6 separate regions of the Mus musculus genome follow, and regions 1, 3, 4, 5 and 6 are each reported to be linked to region 2. The links are microRNA targets in miRTarBase. Many come from high-throughput screens and were not tested one by one. Region 2 holds a microRNA gene; each other region holds the end of a gene's coding sequence.

Evidence for each region. The annotated mature microRNA mmu-miR-338-5p reads AACAAUAUCCUGGUGCUGAGUG and lies in region 2 at 949-970, opposite strand. An mRNA with a match to its seed (bases 2 to 7 or 8) in the 3' UTR can be bound and repressed. Matches are read on the target gene's strand: a 7mer-m8 pairs with bases 2 to 8, a 7mer-A1 pairs with bases 2 to 7 and ends in A, and an 8mer does both.
Region 1: miRTarBase lists Map2k7 as a target of mmu-miR-338-5p. Seed matches in the 3' UTR shown: 7mer-A1 at 1,981-1,987 and 7mer-A1 at 1,971-1,977.
Region 3: the mRNA of Tiprl is a reported target of mmu-miR-338-5p. Seed matches in the 3' UTR shown: 7mer-m8 at 2,305-2,311.
Region 4: the mRNA of Elfn1 is a reported target of mmu-miR-338-5p. Seed matches in the 3' UTR shown: 7mer-A1 at 1,099-1,105 and 7mer-A1 at 1,120-1,126.
Region 5: miRTarBase lists Boc as a target of mmu-miR-338-5p. Seed matches in the 3' UTR shown: 7mer-m8 at 527-533.
Region 6: miRTarBase lists Pcdh20 as a target of mmu-miR-338-5p. Seed matches in the 3' UTR shown: 8mer at 332-339 and 7mer-m8 at 669-675.

What each region holds. Positions count from the first base shown.
Region 1 is chr8:4,245,259-4,248,477 of GRCm38, reverse strand. It overlaps Map2k7 (mitogen-activated protein kinase kinase 7), which reads right to left. Exons shown (of 12, transcript NM_001164172.1): 11 at 2,890-2,935; 12 at 581-2,783. The coding sequence ends at 2,649. Tgfbr3l (transforming growth factor, beta receptor III-like) reads right to left here and starts at 264. Exons shown (of 7, transcript NM_001195258.1): 1 at 126-264. The coding sequence starts at 195.
Region 2 is chr11:120,013,868-120,016,867 of GRCm38, forward strand. It overlaps Mir338 (microRNA 338), which reads right to left and starts at 995; the gene lies at 898-995. It overlaps Aatk (apoptosis-associated tyrosine kinase), which reads right to left. Exons shown (of 14, transcript NM_001198785.1): 4 at 2,861-2,940; 5 at 2,446-2,564; 6 at 2,239-2,326; 7 at 1,592-1,725. Mir3065 (microRNA 3065) reads left to right here and starts at 900; the gene lies at 900-986.
Region 3 is chr1:165,212,935-165,216,153 of GRCm38, forward strand. It overlaps Tiprl (TIP41, TOR signalling pathway regulator-like (S. cerevisiae)), which reads right to left. Exons shown (of 7, transcript NM_145513.4): 7 at 1-2,946. The coding sequence ends at 2,806. Among named protein-coding and RNA genes, the nearest start is that of Sft2d2, 20 kb to the left of the region's middle.
Region 4 is chr5:139,973,499-139,976,717 of GRCm38, forward strand. Elfn1 (leucine rich repeat and fibronectin type III, extracellular 1) reads left to right here. Exons shown (of 2, transcript NM_001384186.1): 2 at 1-1,227. The coding sequence ends at 231. Among named protein-coding and RNA genes, the nearest start is that of Elfn1, 67 kb to the left of the region's middle.
Region 5 is chr16:44,482,891-44,486,109 of GRCm38, reverse strand. It overlaps Boc (biregional cell adhesion molecule-related/down-regulated by oncogenes (Cdon) binding protein), which reads left to right. Exons shown (of 19, transcript NM_172506.2): 19 at 311-1,065. The coding sequence ends at 498. Among named protein-coding and RNA genes, the nearest start is that of Gm30064, 46 kb to the left of the region's middle.
Region 6 is chr14:88,463,998-88,467,216 of GRCm38, reverse strand. It overlaps Pcdh20 (protocadherin 20), which reads left to right. Exons shown (of 3, transcript NM_178685.5): 3 at 1-2,470. The coding sequence ends at 213. Among named protein-coding and RNA genes, the nearest start is that of Pcdh20, 5.8 kb to the left of the region's middle.

The DNA.
Region 1 (3,219 bases), not on the chromosome of region 2:
GAAAAAGGGATGGCACCCCTCCCCCTCCCCACACCACCACACACATCCAGGTGCAAAACGCAGTTGAGAAGGGACAATGGGCAAGTGGGACACAATGCCCCCACCCCGTGGCAGCCTCTACGTACCACGTGGTGTACCGTGCTTACTGGAGGTCCCAGGGAGCAGGGCCAGGAGCAGGAGCGCAGTGCCCACCATGGCGGCCTGTCCAGGTTCGAGTGCTCCAGACCGGCAGCGAGCACCTGGCTGGGCTGTACCCAGCCCTCTAGGTGTGGGTAGGTAGCCCTGGCCTTGGTGAGGCTGCCACCCTGGGAAGCAGGGAGCGGGGGCGGAGGATGGAGGGGCTGACATCTGAGCACATGCTCAAGGCCAGCCATGGATAAGGGCTTTCTTGATGTACTGAAATTTCTACAAGGGGGGCCCCTCACAAAGCTGCCTGATGCCTTCGGTCACTCCAAACACCTCCCACCCAGCTCCCGGCCCGGCTAGTTTCCCATGAATGTCATCCCTAACCACACTAAAAGCCCTCCTCCCAGGCCCTTCCCATATCTCTGTACACTCTACCAGGCTTAGGACACCAGACTCGGAAGAAAAGGGAAGGGTTTTATTCTCAAGCGTCTAAGGATTTACAAACAAGGGTATTTTGTTTTAAAAAGGGAAGAGGGCAACACTGGTGGCCTGAGGAGGAGGTCAGAGGGTGGGACCAGGCCACTCCAGGTCCCTACCTGCCCGAGACCCACTCTGCCTGGGCCTGAGGGATGGCTGGTGACAGAGGGAAGGACTTGGGAGAAGGTGGGGAAGTGGGAGACTCCTCCAGACTCCCACTTAACATTAGAGGGCAGTAGACAAAGACAACACAGACAGACAGACAGACAGACAACACACAGAAAATAAAGTTAAATAAAAATAAAACCATCAGGCCCAGTCTTGGGCCTGTGCTGGCCCTGGGACCAGCCATGTGACCTAAGTACACACAAAGGCTAGCCATGCTGCGGCCAGCCTCAGAATGGTAAGGGTGGGGCCGGGCTTGCTACTCTCTCCCTACTTCATTCCGCCTCCCCAACACAGGAGATAAGGAGAGAGGGTGCCCTACCCTACCCGGGCATAGAAGATGACTTCTATTACGATTTAAGCATGCGGCATTGTGAGAATAGGATGAAGAGGCGTCAACAGGACAGTTAAGAGCCACAGTGTCACCTAAGCCTACGTATGGTTGCATCAGCTACTTCCAGCAAGGTTTCTCAACTTTGGTGCTGGGATTTGTGGTTGTAAATTTTTTTGTTTTGTTATATTGTTCTCTTGTCCACTTGAACTGCATGCATCACCAACAAAAAGGAAACATACCCCACTCTGTCCTCGAAACTGCAGGACAATGGGACAGGCACCTGGCCCAGTCCAGGCCACAGGTTGGGTTGGAGCTGGTCAGCTCTAGGTGAGCTAAAGCATGCTCAGGGGCATGTTGGGAGTAAGTCGCGTCGCATCCCAATACTCTGGCCTCCCCTGCATTCACGCCTGTCCGTCTCGTCCCTGATTCACATGCTCGGACCTCCACATCTACTCCCTTCACTCCTAATCCCTGACTTCTCGGGACCCCTCCTGCCCCTTGGCAGGATTCCCTCCTGTCACTGTTCCCAACAGTCCCTCCCTGCTACCTGCTACTCTCTACTGCATCCCTCATACACCTTCCCTGAAGGCCATCGTGTGGCTGAGGCCCCTGGTCTCCCTCTGTGCCACCTGAGCTCTTCTACTCAACCCCAAACTGTCAGCAGCTCCCAGTCCCATGTGAGGGTCCCCCATGGAGCCTGGCCTCTCCTAGGCCAGAAATGACAAGGAGCAGCAAGCAGTCCAACCCCCAATGCCTGAGGCAATGGAGGAGAGGGGGCCACCACAAGCAGCTAAACATTACTTTGGTAAAATTTTCTGAAGGTACCGACCCCATGAGGACACCCCCCCCCCAACACACCCCCACCAAGTACAATAAAATACAATAAACTCCAAAAGGACCCCCTGAGATCAAAGAGAGACAGACAGACACAGAGACAGCAACCATTTGGCTGCAGTCACAATGCCCACAAAGCCATCCTAGGACAAAGACTTAAGGAAGCCTAGATGAACCTGGGGCTTCCTTCCACTGAGGGTAGAGTGGCGGCACCCAGGCTTCAGAGGCTGGGAGGGAGACAGGGGAACCAGAAAGGGACAGTGGTAGAGAGGGAGGGGACAGAAGGAAAGACGTAGAGCAAGCATGTGTGCGAGAGAAGGTGGAGGGGACAGACACTGGGAGTTTGGGGGGATGGGGACAAGGGGCTTTCTCTCTGCCCCTGGGGGTTACCCCAGCCCAGAGGTTATGATTGAATAAATAGCGAGTCTGCTCATGGCCTGCTGTCTTCCGTTCACAGTGTCTGTCGGGGTGGGATGGGGCTCACACTGCTGGCTGACCCCAGAGTGGGAGGGATTAGGAACCAGCATGCCCTTTTGTCCACAGCTGGTAGGCAGGGAGTCAGAGCTGGATGGGAACCCCCTACTTTCTGTCCTCAGTCCTTGGCAGTCGTCCAGGTCCCAGGTCCCCTGATGGGCAGCTGGGTTGGCCAGGTTGGGGGGGGGGTCGGTGGCCGTGGCCCGGGGCCCCTGCGGGGCTGGCCGCTGCCATGAGGCTACCTGAAGAAGGGCAGATGGTGCTGACTCAGGACTCCACTAGTCCTTGGGGACTCGGTCTTCGCCATGACATCCTTAAACCAGGACGCGACATCCACCTCGAGTATCTCATAGTGCTTGATGAAGCTGTGTTCCTGTAGGCCCAAGAGTTTGCTTATTATGAGGAGTCAGTCCTCCTGGTCTTGCAACTGAGACCCGGAGGACTTCACACGTGGTGGGGGTTGGGGGAGAGGTACTCACAAGTAGCTTATTATACTTTGGTCTCTTCCTGTGATCTTTAGTAAGGCTGGACAAAGAGCAGGGAGAAAAGAGAAATGAGAGTCAGAAAAATGAAGCCCGACTGTGCCTGGATGCCCATCTATGCTCAGGCCCTCCCTCTCCAGTAAGCCAGAAGCAGCTGCTCACAGCCAGGCTCCACCAGGCTGGGGATCCACAAACTCTCCTGGCCCAATATAGTATTAGGTAAAGACCCAGCTGGGGAGCTGGAACCACGCGCAATGTGAGGGTCACATCAGAGAAAGTTAAGACTCAAGTGTGATATTCCTACACAACCTCCATTGCAAAGCCACA
Region 2 (3,000 bases):
TCTGGCTCCACACCCTGTACTGGCTATTTTGGAAGACCTGTGTGGACTTCAATGCATTTCTAATACTTCTTCTTCTTCTTTTTTTTCTTTTTTTTCCAGACAGGGTTTCTCTGTGTAGCCCTGGCTGTCCTGGAACTCATTTTGTAGACCAGGCTGGCCTCGAACTCAGAAATCCTCCTGACTCTGCCTCCCAAGTGCTGGGATTAAAGGCTTGCGCCACCAAGCCCGGTTTTCAATGCACTTCAATGCATGTGAAAATCAGGCAAAAGATGCTCAAGGACGACCCCCCCCCCCCAGCAAAGTGCTGTCTAACTGCACCAGAGCCCTAACCCGCTCCACCCTCTGTCTGATCTGCCCAACAAGGGCCAACAAGCCATGGAGCAGAGAGTCTGCAGTGTCCTCTCAGGACCCTCACCCTTCCGACTACACTCCACCATCCCAGTCCCCAGGAGGTAAGAACTGATGGAGAAACCGAAGCCCGGAGTGTCTCAGAGGGTCCTGCCAGCAGTCAGAGCCCATGTTCTAGAGTGCAGCCCTGCCTGGCCTGCTACACAAGCTGGAGCCGAGGTCTAGAACAGTATGGACCACAAAGGCCCCTTTGTGTGGAGGATAAAAATCACCAACTCAGTGGGAAGCCTGGAATGCCAGGCTCTGTATAACTCTTGCTTGGCTATAGCGCCCCACCCCCAGGTGTTTGGGGTACAGGACAATAGAGTGCCACGGGACGCACCCTCATCTGCCATACTGGCTGTTCTGCTGAGAGATCTCTGGATGTAGATGGGGCCACCTTGGCCTGCCTCTACCCCAGGAGGACTGTGTCAGGGGACAGGGTGGGGTGACCTGGGTCCATGCCTATGGGTGGGGCAGCTGGGCTAGGCAGCAGGCAGGGCAGGAGGCTGGCAGCTGCCCTCTTCAACAAAATCACTGATGCTGGAGTCACTGTGCACCCACTCAGCACCAGGATATTGTTGGGGAGGACGGCCTGTGCAGCGTTGGAGCTGGTGGGCCGCTTGTCCGTTGCCACTTCTTCCAGCATGTGCCCCCAGCTCATGGGAGGCTGGGCATCCTGGCCACCAGAGGCAGGAGAGAGCCACCCCTCCCACTACAGGGCCAGCCCAGCCACTCCCTTTGTGGCCTGAGGGAAAGAGGCTGGGGTTGGTATGGAGCCCAAGTATGGCTGACTGCTCTAGTAGACAGGATGGGTTTCTTCATTTAACTGTCTGCAAGGTGAGTTTCAAATGCCAAGTCTTCACAATTTATTTCATTTTGAGATGGTCCTGCTACATAGTCCTGGCTATTCTGGAGTTCATTAGGTAGACCTAGCAGGACTTGAACTCACAGAGATTCTCCTACCTCTGCCTCCCAAGCGCTGCAATTAAAGGCGTGAGCCACCATGCCCAGTTAGTTTTCCCAGTTCTAAGAATGATAAAGTTCCCTGCAGAGTGGCTATTTTTAGATGAACCCAGTTCATGAGGCCCACAACGTGGGATCACCGTGACTTTTCTGCACAGGGTCGTGTGATGGTGAGGGTTAAGGCCCTGGGGGAGTGGGGCTTTGTAGCTGTAGCCTGGCTAGTCTCGCTAGCCCTCACCTGTGTACATAGTTGTGTCGATGTAGATGCAAGACGCCACACGCCACCTCGCACGCCATGCGCTGCAAGGTAAGTGGGTCAGGCGCCATGGACTCTGTCACCCGGCAGCTCCGTAGATAACCTTTGAGGTCCCCCTGATGGACGAGAGAGCACACAGTCACCTGCTAGCTGCAGCGACCAGCCCATCACAAGTCTGCCACCCACACCAAGAGAACCTGGGTCTGGTGGCCTGTGGATCAGCTGTGAACCCTAGTGTTCACTGCTGTTTCAGCAAAGCCTGTGTCTCAATTCTGGCACAGTGACCTCCATATAAGCAGCCACCAGAGCTGTGCATGTAAAGGGCCCAAGGGGCAACACGAAGACCCAGAACTCAGGCTCTGCCCCAGGAGCTTCGGGAGCCCTGTGGCTGTCCCAGGACACCTCTCGCTGAACTATCCAAGACCCCACAGTGTTGCCCCTGCTGCTGCTGGCTCACTTTCTCTCCGCAGACCTCCTCTGAGGGAGAGCAAGGACTACCAGGACTCTACTTTAGAAATAACAAAAGACCCCAAGAGGCTGAGCAAGAGAGGAGCCACTCCCCTTTGGAACAATGAGCTACAGAACAGGACCGGGAGAGACAGAGCTACCTCCCCGAGAGGACCACTTACCAGTGGACAGAACTCCATAACCAGCAGGTAGGGGGTCACTTCAGCACACTGGGCCAGGCACTGGAGCAGGTTGCTGTGCTGCAGGGCCCTGGAAGAGTCCACGGGTGTTTAAGTTGGAGGGCAGGAGAGGGTGTCCCATAGCCCTCAGTTTCTCCCACTGTGCTGCTCCCCTGCCCGGCCCCACCCCGCCCCCGCCACACCACCCACCTGTAGGGCTGCGCCTCCTCCAGGAACTGCATCTGCTCCTGCACGCTGGCGCTCACCTTCAGCTCCTTCACCACCACCTGCGTGCCACTGACGCCCGAGTGTACCTCCCCCAAAAACACCTGCCAAATGTGACAGGCATCACCAGGTCCCCTTTCAGTCTCCATAGGAAAAGCCATCTAGCGCCCAGGGCCTCAGATGGTCATACAACTTCTCACCAAGCTCTGGCTAGAACCCTCAGCCCCAGTCCACCCACAAGGCTCCTACTTTTCTCACTGCCTGGGGACTACAATGAGGAAAAAGGAATCAGGTACATGGTCCAGTCTGGGGCGGGTGTTAGAAAGAGCCCCTCCCTAGGGGATCCCCAGGAGTAGTGGGTCCACCCTTTGCCATTCCTGCCACCCCGGGGCATGCTTACCTTCCCAAACCAGCCGTGGCCAATCTCCTTTAAGTACAGGAGGCTGTGCCGGCCCAGGTCCGTGGACTTGAGAAGTTGCACTAGAGTGGAACAGAAATCCAGACACAGCTTAGCCACCGCTCCCTCTCCATCTTCCCGAC
Region 3 (3,219 bases), not on the chromosome of region 2:
TGTGGCCTTCTCGACACTTGCACCTCATTCAGCAATCGGGGGAAACCCAACCTTAAATCAATGGTCCCAAGTGAAGAACGTCACCAGCACCCTCCCACCAGAGGCAGCAGTCCTCAGTATTCTGCATATGCAACTATGGTCCACGCTGCTTTCCAGTTCCTCATCAAGTCAGCCAAGTTTGGCTTCCATTCCTTCTTTGGTAGGAATTGTCCTTTGCCTGTCCAGGACTCTCCCTCCACTCCTCCTCCAGGGGCAAGTAGGCTTTGTCAGATGCAATAGGGATGAAAACAGGTTTTTGCAGCTTTCCCCACAACACCCTAAGGCATTTAAACCCTTCAGAGCTCGGAACCTAGGGTAGGTGGGCAGGGCTTTACCCCTGTCCCCAGTTACTTCCTGCTTGCCTGGCCTCCTTACCAGGACTTTCGTGAGCTCCGCTTGGTTCTTTTCCAGGCACAGACCTTTGGATCTAAGAGGCAAATCCTTAACTGAGAAAGTTAGTAAGTCCCCTTAAATGAGACTTGTAGCTATTCCAAAAATGACACACTAGTCCTCACACAGCCTTTAAGAATTTATAAAATGGGGCTGGAGAGATGGCTCAGCTGTTAAGAGCACTGATTGCTCTTCCAGAGGTTTTGAGTTCGATTCCCAGCAACCACATGGCGGCTCACAACCATCTGAAATGGGATCTGATGCTCTCTTATGGTATGTCTGAAGACTGCAACAGTGTACTCAAATATACAGAATAGATCTTTTTTTTTAAAAAAAAAAGAACTTGTAAAATGATCCTACACAATGAACTACAGTAAATTAAGGAATGTCGAGACAGGTGCAAACACTCTTCCCCAGGGAACAGCATAATTTAGTTATCTAACTTCAAATGGTCAGCCCTGAAAACATACATGCAAGTAACATTATACAGTGTGGGCAGGTTGTACTTATATATTTAGAAGCTAGACAGTCATGCATATATGAATTTGAAAAGAGCAGGGAGGAGCATATGACAGGCTGAGAGGACGGAAGGGAAGACTAAATGATGTGATTATCTTGAAGTAAGATGTTGGCTGTGGTGATATTAGCCACCTTTCTCTTGTGCTCTGAAGAGGAGGCAGTCTCTGTCCTTTTTCTCCTTGGAGCTTCCCATTCTTTGAGATTCAGTTTGTTTTGTAATCCCACTTTCAGTTGTTCAAGGCATGGTAATTTTTTTGACTGCCTGGCTTTTTCCCTGGTTATGGTAATGACAATCTCAAGGCCTGCGACAGCTTCTTCAAAAGCAGAGAGGAATACCAAAGTCGCTCCTCCCATCTTTCTCAAGTTGTTATTTCTGCCATCACATCTGACACCACGTGTAGATGCTTCTGCATTCTCTGGCGGACCTTAACCCCACAAAAAGTTGTCTCGGTCACCATAGGAGATTTGGTTCACATTCACATAAATACCAAAATAAAAAATAAGCCATCAGATCCTCTCATACACTATAAATTACCCTGTATTTCACTCATAATACCTAATACAAGGCAAATAGCTAAAACTGACAGTCAGGGAATGACAACAGAAAGTCTGTGCGTGGTCATAATCGCTGGGATGTTTTCAACTGTTTGATGAGGAGCCGGATGACTCCACATACACAGCACTCGCCGTATAAAGGACCAACCACATTCTATCGCTTCATTATGTAATCCCTTATACCACATCAGAGAACACGGTACTCAGAACTGAAGGGGATGCTATGCATGACATGTACCCATGTGTTCTGACTACTTAAAAGTGCCCTCAGGAGTGTAAGGAGCAGAGGGAGAAGAGAGACAGGCGCTTAAAGGCGAACAAACTAGGGGATCGCGTTCATACCTAGCAGTTTCCATTTGTAATCTGCGTGGGAAATGTGTCTGCAATACTGAACGGGTTCAGAACAAAATAAATGAGAACGATACATCCTAATCCAATCTTCAAGTAAGTCTAAGAAAAGCTGAAATAAACAGCAAACTATGAATACATAATTCCTTATTATTTATTCTCCTCTTACAAAAGACACTTGGACAAATAAATATAAAATGGCATATGTCATATTTAGAAATGGCCAAGGACACACCTGGGTACTCCTCACAGGGATACACTAATACAATCTTCAGATGCACACTCCTCCTCCCCACCGCCCACCTCTTTAATTTTTTTTAAAAAGTCAATTATTTTATTTTAATTCTCCACAATTTTTAACAATGAATTATCAAAATAAGTAATCTAACACTACTCAGAGACAAAGACATTTAAATGAAAAGATTTAAAAAATACTTGTGTGTACAAACACACACAATATGTTGCCCAGAAACTCCAACTAATGACTAATACAAGATTAATTTTGTAGGTGACATGTCACAACTCTCCGTAAGTGCGAACAAACACCAGAAAGCCCACAGCCAAGAGCCAGAGTAGCACATCAGCATGCAGTCAGCATCCTATGGCGGCCGGCAGGTCCCAGGCATCGGGGCTCAGTGACAGCCTTACAGTCAGCCTCCTCACAGTGAAGACGATGCTTCAGGCCGGATGCAGACCATGTCCCCTCATGAGACCCACACACATCACTGCTGACGTAAGCTCCAGAGCACATCTCTCTCTGGAGCAGGAACTTGAAAACAGACAGGATAAACAGGAGTTGTGTGGAACCTGCCTGCAGCAATCTTTTATTTTCCTTTAAGGCTACAGAAAATCTGCGCATAAGCAAGGAAATTAATTCTCATAATAAAAATACCCCTACAAATAGCCAAGGTTTCCAGTCAGGTTCCACATGGAGAGAGTCTGCTGTACCACATTTTATTCTGAGGGCGTACTTTGTGAGTCCACTGGGTTAGGATCAATTCTTTCTGGAAATACGAGCTTCTCACAAACTGCTTCCTTAATTGGTAAATATTGTGATATTTCATTAGGTTCCGTGAAGAGGGAAGGTGGAACATGCTAGGAAAAACATAAAATCGTATTAGTATATTCTCAGTTATGGCTCACACGATTTCTGAAACCTTCTAGTGTAAGAGTTCACAAAGCATGCTAATTTCAGCCCTGGGGACACTCCACGTAAGGAGGAGCATTGAGTGCTCCCCCAGATAACAGCTGCTTCCTGTTACTCAATCGTTCAACTGTGTGGCTGATCTTCAAGGAACTTGGTGTCATAACTGACAGTGCTACTGTAAGTGCTAAAAGAATCCCACACATTTTGATCAAATCCCTCCC
Region 4 (3,219 bases), not on the chromosome of region 2:
CTGTCCCCACAGTACCACAACCTGAGCTATTCATCCAGCCCCGAGTACACCTGCAGGGCATCCCCAAGCATCTGGGAGCGTCTCAGACTGAGCCGACGGAGACACAAGGATGATGCGGAGTTCATGGCGGCTGGCCACGCCCTGCGCAAGAAGGTTCAGTTTGCCAAAGACGAGGACCTGCATGACATCCTAGACTACTGGAAAGGCGTGTCTGCCCAGCACAAGTCCTGAACCTCCCTCCACCCTTTGGCAGGGCCCAAGGAAGCCTGGCCCTGTCCTCTCCGAAACTCGTGATGCCCATTGGACCAAAAAGGATAGACCACCCACAGCAGCTATCCCTGACTGAGACTTAACACTAAATCCAACATATGTGCACAACCAGGGGCCGCTGCATACAGCACCTGGCCCACAGGGACAGCTTGGGGAGGCCGCAGGTGGCCGAGACAGTAGATATACTAACTTCCATGTAAACTGTAATGTGCCTGCTGCCTGGTGCAAGCAAGCAAGACACACACACACACACACACACACACACACACACACTCACACACTCACATACTCACATACACTCACACATTCACACACTTACACTCACACATACATTCACACACACAAATGCACACACATGCATGTGCGCGTGCACACACAAACATTTGCACACACTCACACATGCACATGCACACACATGCACACATGGGACTTCGGAAAACTGTGTCTTACGGGTGGGGGTGGGGGAGGGGAAGTTTTTCCATTATCTTTCCTGTTTTGAGTCTTCTCTTCCTTTTCCTTCTTCTCTCTCTTTATTTTCTTCCTTTTTAAAAAATATATATATAAAAGTGAAAATCTTTAAAAAAAATAAAAGAGAGAGAAAGAAGAAAGAACTAAATCACCTAGCGTGGGGCATGTGACCAAGTCTAGCCAGCTTCATGGCACCCCCTAAATATGATCTCCCAGGCTGTGGAGTGCAGAGGGGTGGAGCATCTGGAGCCTGTGAGACTCTAGTGGGGAGGTGAAGACTGTGCCTGGGGACCAGTCAGGGTGGCAAGAGGGGTGCAGGCTGGGAAACATTGTGTGGTCCCTCCACCTCGACCCCATCTTTATTGTACACTGTAGCTGTTCTATTGTACAGAAAAAAAAATCTATATTTGCAAAGTTTGCTGTAAAATGAGAGAGAGAAAAAAAGACTATGTCTACTAAAAAAAATCTGCAAAGGAAAAAAAATCCAAATACATGTGTTCTGTGGGTTTTTACTGGGGTAGTAGTGGTGGTTCAGGGTCCCATTTAGGCAAGCAATTGTGGATCGTGGCTTTGATGGGCTCAGTGGGAGCCTATGGGAAAAGTTGTGGCTCACACTGGGCAAGGAAGTGTCCAGCCTCTTTGAGGGCAGGAACAAGTGTGAATGGGTCAGAAGCTAGAGGCAGGAGGAGGCTGAGGAGGGTGTGGCTATGCCAGGGCCTGTGTGCAGACCTAGTAGCTGAGGGGTGGGGACAAACAGGGACAAACAGGGGCTCCTCTGAACATGGTGGTCATGGTGGAATTGGTTAGGGTGCAATGGTTACAGGGTGTGTCTGTGTGCCCTTCTATACCCAGAGCACCGCCCACATGGAGACGCCTCCTTTCCCTACAACACAAAGCCAGCCTTCATTCTCCCACCACCAGCCCTTGCCTCTCACCCCATTCTCTCTCATGTGGCCTTCTCTGGGTGGTCCCATCCACGGGGGGTGTGGGGGGAGGTGAGTAGCTTTGGTCTTTCTAGAACTGATAGAAGTAAGTCCTGCTCCGAGGCTAACCTCAGTACTTCCTGTTACTGAGACTGCAGTCACCTGTTATCAAGAACATACACCATCTACGTCCCTCTAGCCCAGTGCTGTGATCACCACACCCAAGGCTGGTATCTTCCAGAGAGGTTTAATGCTGTATTGGGAAGGTACACCTTGTTCCTTCATACCCATGGAACCCCGAGGCTATTCTCCCACCTGAGCAGCCAGGAGGCATGTCTCCCAACCAATGTTCCCAAACTGGTTTGAGGACCTTCCCCTCATTCCCCTTAAGGCCCTAGGACTGAGGGCTCCCCGCCCATGGAAAACAATTCCTAACATGGACTGCTGACAAAGACCTAGCAAGACACCGACATCCCGGATCCAAGGAGATGCCTGAAGAGTTGTGAAAAGAAGCAGGCTTCGGTGTCTGATGAGCTGTGGGGAAGGCCTAGATCCCAGTTTGGCTGGAGATGAGGGCAGAGAGGGTGGGGGAGACCTCCAGGGGCTGGGGGCAGCCGTGGATCAACAGCCTCTGCTTGCATACTCCTAGGAATGGGAGGTCATCTTCCCCTCCAACTTTAGCCACCTTCCTTAGATCCACACAGCTCCAGGGTCCAGTTTGGTCTCCTGGGTCCCCGGAGGGGAGCATAGAAGCCCACACAGAGCCCACACTGGATACCTAACCAAGGTACACTTGACAGGTACCTCGCCAGTATACCCTTTAAATGGGCCCCCTTCAAGAACTTCATGCCCTGTTCTTTCTTGTCTGGCCTAACAGGCCCCTCCCTGCTCTGTACCCTCCCAAATGGGGAGCCATAGGTGGTCCAGTATGGTCACACCCAGAGGGGAAATGTAGGCTCCAGAGCTGGTGATGGAGGCCCAGAGAGGGACAATTTTTCTGCTCAGGGGTACCTAGCCACTCAGTGGCCGCCATTCTGGTTACAGGACAAAAGAAGGTGGCCAGGCTTGCTCGATACATTCCCTGTCGCCAAGGAGACAAAATGGCTATTTATAGGGGGACCAGGACAGAGAGAACTGGCACCAAGATGGGGTTTGGTGGAAGAATCATAGGTCCAGAGAGGGGTGAGGGCAGAGAGGCAGGAGGCAGGAGGCAGGGGCAGGATGCTCAGCTGCTGGTGCTCAGGCAGTAGTGCCTACCTAGTCTCCCAGGGTCTCTCAGGGGTTGATGGAGTCAACTCTGAACTGAGTGTGAGCTGGTGACAGAAACCCACACAGCTTCATATCCTCATTAGAAGAGTTCCGAGTATGTTTGATGAGGGCTAGAAGAAGGCTTACACCTTTAAAAAATTTAGATTTATTTATTTTATGTGTATAAATGTTTCACCTGCATGCATGGATGTACACCCTATGTATTACTGGTGCCTGTGGGGGTCAGAAGAGAGTGACCAGTCCCCTGGGACTGCAGTTATGGATGGTTCTGAGCCACCCTGTGGGTGCT
Region 5 (3,219 bases), not on the chromosome of region 2:
CTAGGACATGAAATTCTAAAAGACCATCAGCTCCAAAGCCAGGCCAGTCGTCATGAAAACAAGGTTTGGTTGGATCGTGAGGTAGAACACAGCCTGGCTAGAGAGAGCCGGGCATCCCTTTGTGTTTTGTGTGTACGTAGCTGATGGCTACAAGTCGAGTGCTTTGAAGTCTAATGCCTTTGGTCCCAACATAGATGAATTGTAAGGGTCCTCCCCTTCCAGGGCCAGTGTGACCAGCTATAGGTAGAGAGTAGCGCAGGACTGCATAGTGAGTCTAGATTTTAATGTCGCCTACGTTTTCCCCTCACAGGGCCCCAGTGCTGTTTAGGTCTTGTACCAGTTGAAGAAGTAGACAGTTCTGACTCCTGCCAAGTGGGTGGAGGAGACTGGAGTTCCCAGCATCCATCAGGGACCTACACAGGACAGGAACGTGGGATGCGGTTCTCGCCTAGCCCATCAGTTCATGTGTCCTTTGAAACACCACCTCCCACAATTTAGGCCGAAGCTAATATCCCAGAAAGACTATATATTGTTTGTTTGTTTGTTTGTTGACAGAGAAAAATTGGTATTTATTTTTCTATTATAGCCATATTTATATATTTATGCACTTGTAAATAAATGTATATGTGTTTCTATAATTCTGGAGAGATATGGAATCCTCCCCTTTCTGGCACAAGACAGAAAGCAAGCAGCTGAGTAACTGGAGACCAGTGGAAATGAGTATCATAGATGGTCAGGCTGCAGATGGATCCCAGAACCTGCAGCTACCACGGACACCAGGAGGCCCTCGGGCCACTTGGTGGAAGGACCCTAAGCACACTGTTCATGAAGAACACAGGGATAAAGCAAAGGCCATCATGCCGCAGACTGGAGCCACCTGGAAGCCACTCCAATTTGGTGGCACAGGACAGGTTTCCAAGATGTCACGAGAAAAGCCCCAGATGTGTACAGCACTCTAAGCATTAACAGTCTCCCAGAATCAATAATCGGTGGCAACATATCTCTGTAAAAACAAACACTGTAACTTCTAAATAAATGTTTAGTCTTCCTTGTAACCTTCATCTTAGTCACGAGTGAGTCAGCGTTTTCTTTAGACGTCCGGCGTCCCGTCTTTGAGTGGCTGCAGTAAAGCCCTGCTCGAGATGATTTCCAACCCATCAGAGATAAAATCTGGGAACAGTCGCAAATATTTTTCATATTTTTTTGTCTCTTTAAACAATGAATGCTGAATTTGGATTCATGTAACATGACACTACAAACTGCTTACTCCAAGAAGGAATACACAGACAGGAAGCAAATTCACTGTTCTCTTGCCGGACTGGAGGTGAGCATCTGCCATATTGAAGGAATGAAGTGAATTCTTCTTGTGTAGGGATGTGTGTGTGTGTGTGTGTGTGTGTTTTAAAAGACCAACTATTGCTTCCAAAACACCATTTAGCTTAGTACTATGCCACCCGTTAACACGTGGTCCCTAGTAGGTTCCTTTCATTCTAAAGTTACCATTGCTGGAGGAGTTGACTCATTTCAAGCCAACATTTATTTAATGTTGTTCCACAAAAAGATCATTCATAGGGGTAAGTGTGTGAGCGTGCATTCGTGCGTGTGTGCGTGCGAACTTAAAACTTTTATGTGTGGCACAAGACTTAATAAGAAACTGAACATTTTAATGCAAGTCTTCACACATTTTGAGTATTCATTGTGCGGGGAGGGATTGTATATTTCAGGAAAATGAGGAGTTGGAATTCAGCCTGACACATTTAATCTTATTAAGAGTTGTATCAGACTGCTTTTCCAAGAATTTGCTAAGCAGGATCTAAGGTAGACTGGGATAAGGCCGCCATCTGCTGGTGGAAAGGAGTACTGCACCTAGCCATCGGTAGCCTTGCATCCGTTTTTCTACAAAGACGGCTAATCTGAATAAGAACTGTCCTCAAAATGCAGCATGATTTTCAGGAAGGTAGTGGCTTTTAACGTGTTTATAGAAATAAGTGTAAGGAACATGGAAATTATAAGAGCGTGAGGTCTAATCCTGCAAGGGAAGAAGTAAGATATGTGATTTCAAACACATACTGAAGCCTTTAGCGGTCACTTCCAGGAGAGGAATGGGCAGAGCTAATGCTTGCAGTCTTTGCTAATGCAGCTCAAATCTGAGCTGTAGTTAACTTGACAGGCTGTTGGAAGCTTGTTTTATTTTTGTAAAACCTAATTTTGCCTTCTACCTCTCCGTGACCTAAAGTAAATGTCAAAATGGGTTTTGGTGTGCGCCACTAAAAGCAACGTATAGACACCCTGCTTACTGTACTCTTTCAGGATGGTCAGACGCTGAAGGGAGTTGTCCAGGCTCCCTAGGATCCTGTTTCCCAAGTCTGCTACCAGATCCTGAGACCCACAGACCTCTAACCTCTAGCTCAATAACTTGTTTTTAAAGCTAAGTTTTGAGGCAACTTTTTTACGCATGAATGAATGAGCAATGAAGGCTATGATTAGCACCTGTTTGCCTTCATCAATGAAAGGCATAGCTGAGTGGAGAGACGGAGTTACTTCAATCTACTTCATACCGTATGAGGCAACGACTGATTGCTTTTTTGTTTGTTTGTTTGTTTGTTTGTTGCAACAGGGTTTCTCTGTATAGCTCTGGCTGTCCTGGAACTCACTTTGTAGACCAGGCTGGCCTCGAATGCCTCTGCCTCCCAAGTGCTGGGATTAAAGGCGTGCGCCACCACGCCCAGCGACTGATTGCTTTTTAGGTGGCCTTGCCCTTAATCTGCCTCCCTTTACATGAGCAATACAAAAATCCAGAGGCAGACTCTTCATGCTGTGTTGGTATGCACAAACACTACTACCATGTCCAACATGAACCATGGGTTAGGCTTAGGATATTCTTTCAAGGAAAACCGTACTACCTACCAACTCACCAAAGTAGACAGGGAACATGCAGATACATGAATGTGTTAGAATTATATCAGAAAAAACCCAAACAGGCCCAAGAACATACCTAATACACTTCGACCTTCATCTGGACACCATAAAAAGAAGAGTATCTAACACTGTGAGAGAACAGCCTTTAGCCAGTCATCTGACCCCCAGAAAATGTGCCAGGGATTGCTGACACACAAAGCATTCTAGAGGCTTCTACTATGATGCTGCCATTGGTCCATCTGGACCCAGCCCTGAGCCTTGCATCAAAAAAAGTCCAGCATTTCTGCTGCTAGTGTCAAA
Region 6 (3,219 bases), not on the chromosome of region 2:
GAATCTATGTCCTGTATGCCCACATTGGTAGCTCTGTCAGTCATAAGCTTGGGCTCCATCACACTAGTTACAGGGATGGGAATATACATCTGCTTACGGAAAGGTAAAAAGCATCACAGGGAAGATGACAATTTGGAAGTACAGATTCCATTGAAAGGAAAAATTGACTTGTGTATGAGAGAGAGAAAACCAGTGGATATTTCTAACATTTGATATGCCATTGTGGAATAACATGGAGGGACATTGTAACTGCCATAGGTAGTCTTTGTCAAGCAGACAACATTGTGCTGACACAGTTCCACTAAAGGACAATTAATTTATAACTTGTACTATATTGTAAATAGCTGTTTACAGGTTTTTAATGCAAAATCAGAAGTTATAAAATGTGTACAGAATTTTTAAATGAAAATTAGTACTAACAGCTATATCATTGTTATTTATATATATATATAAATACCTATATGTAAAATGTTGGATATAACTGGCAGCTCTAATACACCAAGCAGATGACTGTCAAAACTCAAGACTAAGGTAAGAGAAGTACATTTTTGTTGTTTCTAAAATGTCTTTTCACCACAAGAGGGCACCAGCTTCCCCTTTGCAGGGATCTGTGGCATTGTACATGATAGTTGTTGTACAGGAAATTAAGGAGAGAGTATATTTTAAATATATTGTTTTTAACATTAAATGTAAAATTAAGGTAAACTGAATTCTCTGCTTAAATATATGACAAGAAAGAAAAGAAATCCACTTGCAAACAGAAAATGTATTACCTCATAGGTACACCGATTTTAGTTTGAAAGAGAAGGCATTTTGAAAAGAAGTACAATTATTTAGGGGCAAGCATCAAAACACATTGCCATGTGTTATAAACTTGACCTGCTGAAGAGTGCGATGTTTCGTGTAACGCCTCCTGCTCTCTGTTTGCTTTCCTCCTGCACTTGCTAGAATTAAATGGGGTTAGGAACCATCTGTGTATTCTTCCGTTCGTGAAAAGCATCTAGACATTGTACTCAGTAAAAGATCAAGACACACATCAGTGTCTCAATCTCTACTTGCTTGCTTGGTGTTTATGATATCTTAGTGCACTCTTCGCTGGTCAGCAGCAAGTTTTCCGTGGGTTTTATGTTAGCGTGGGTCCACTTCTGTTCATCTACCCTATAAGAAAAATAAAAGTTGTATTCAGATTGAATTCTTCAAAAGGCTACTGTACGCTGTTGGTTGTTTGAGTTAGGCATTTTATATGAAAGTTACACTTTTTGTAGTTGTTTTGGACGATTAGCTAAAGTTCTGGCTTCCCTATTTGCTTCTGGAATACATCCAAAGTTTTATTTGTAAGCCCATCTGCAGATTATTTTGATGATTTAGTTTTTACCAGTCTTTTGCAATGAAGAAACCTGGTTTGTCGGTGATTTCTATCGCTTCCTTCTTTGCATGAGATGGGGATTTTATTTTATGTAAGAACTGTAGCAAAGTTGTCTGTGTAAACAAGAAATGTGTTAGCTTCAAAGTGAGTCGCTTTACTTATCACCCTCATGTGTCTGTACCATACCAAAATTGTTTATATGTCTGCAAATTAAAAGTTTATATTTTCACATTTTCTTGATTATTTTTACCATTTTATATTTGAACACTGGCTTGTTCTTTCACTGAAGTGCCTGCTATTGGTGTCTGTTTCTAGGATTAAGTGTGAGAAATAGTGGTATTCTGCTATGCTAAAGTTTATATTAAACTAATCCATGACCTAATTAAGCACTGGGTAAATTATTAAGGGTGTGTAAATTGTAGACATATATAGAAGAGAATTTGCTTATATGTTTAAGTTCCTATGAAAATTTGCATTCATGCATGACTATATTCCCATTAGCTAATTATAGACTTAATATCACTGTGAGTGTTCCCTCACATCCCAGCAACCTCTGTGCTTATTGTGTTTCACTAACTTGCAATATTTTAAGATAATAGCACACGATAAAAAAGCTTAAATATAAACACAGGACATATTAGATTTATATTAATTGCTTATTCTTGTTTTCTTCACTTTGATAATATAGATAAATAAATATATAAGGCAACAGAATCTAAGACAAAAAATTCAATATATTTTCATGAATGCTCCTTTTGTATGATAGACACTTGAAATAAAAGACTTATAAGACCATCAAAGCCCATAAACTGTTCATTCACAACTCTTACATAACAAAGAAGCAACACATTTTTTACAGTCAGTTTGTTTAGTTTTTTTTTTTTTAATAAAAGGAGAAGCTACATAAAAGACATGAGGCAGCATTAATAAAATAAATAAATCCTCCACAAGCTTCATGACTTTTAGCATCATTATAAAAAGAGAAAACATTCTATTCATTTCACAATTTGAGCATGGTTCATGTGTTTGGGGGCGGTTTGGTTATTGAACTTCATTTCTTGCATGAGAAATATCAATGACCTTAATAAAATTATGTATTCATAAATAATTTTGTTGTAGGATTTCCTTTGCATATTATTTTGTTCACATTAAAAGCAGACATAGCAGGGAAAGCTAAAGTAAATTAGGCTTAGACATAAAAGCTTCTTTTTCCTGAGACCCTGTGCTACAACTGTTGCCAAAATGTATGCTAATCATGTCAATGTTGTTAGTTAAGCTGGCACCAAGATAACTGTTCCATTCATTAAAAGACCTAATATCCATTTAACAGTTTGAGAGCCAGTGAGTTCCCTTGCCCAATTTAATGATGAAGGGATGTCTCTGATATCTGCCCTGCCAAATACATCTTACACTATGGAGGAAAGGGTTCATTAATTTGAACTTGAAAATATAAAACGAATATAGCAATTTCATCTGGGTAAGTAAATAATTCACATTATCTTTTCAATACTTGATTCATGATCATAAACTTTTTAAAAAGCTATTCATTTTTTTCTGGCAGATACACTTTTATCAAGAACTCAAAACTAGCACACACATACACACAAACACATACACAGAAACATACATATACACAAACACACATACTTACACAAATATACACACACACACAAACACACATACTCACACACAATCAAACATACACAAGCACACATAAACACAAACATGCACATACACAAGCACACACACACACACACACACACCTCTTAAAAAAAACCTAAGAAACTGGCACATTAGTAAAAACCTAATCCCTAGTATTTTAGATGCCAGTCCAGTGTTTTAGAAAATAGCAG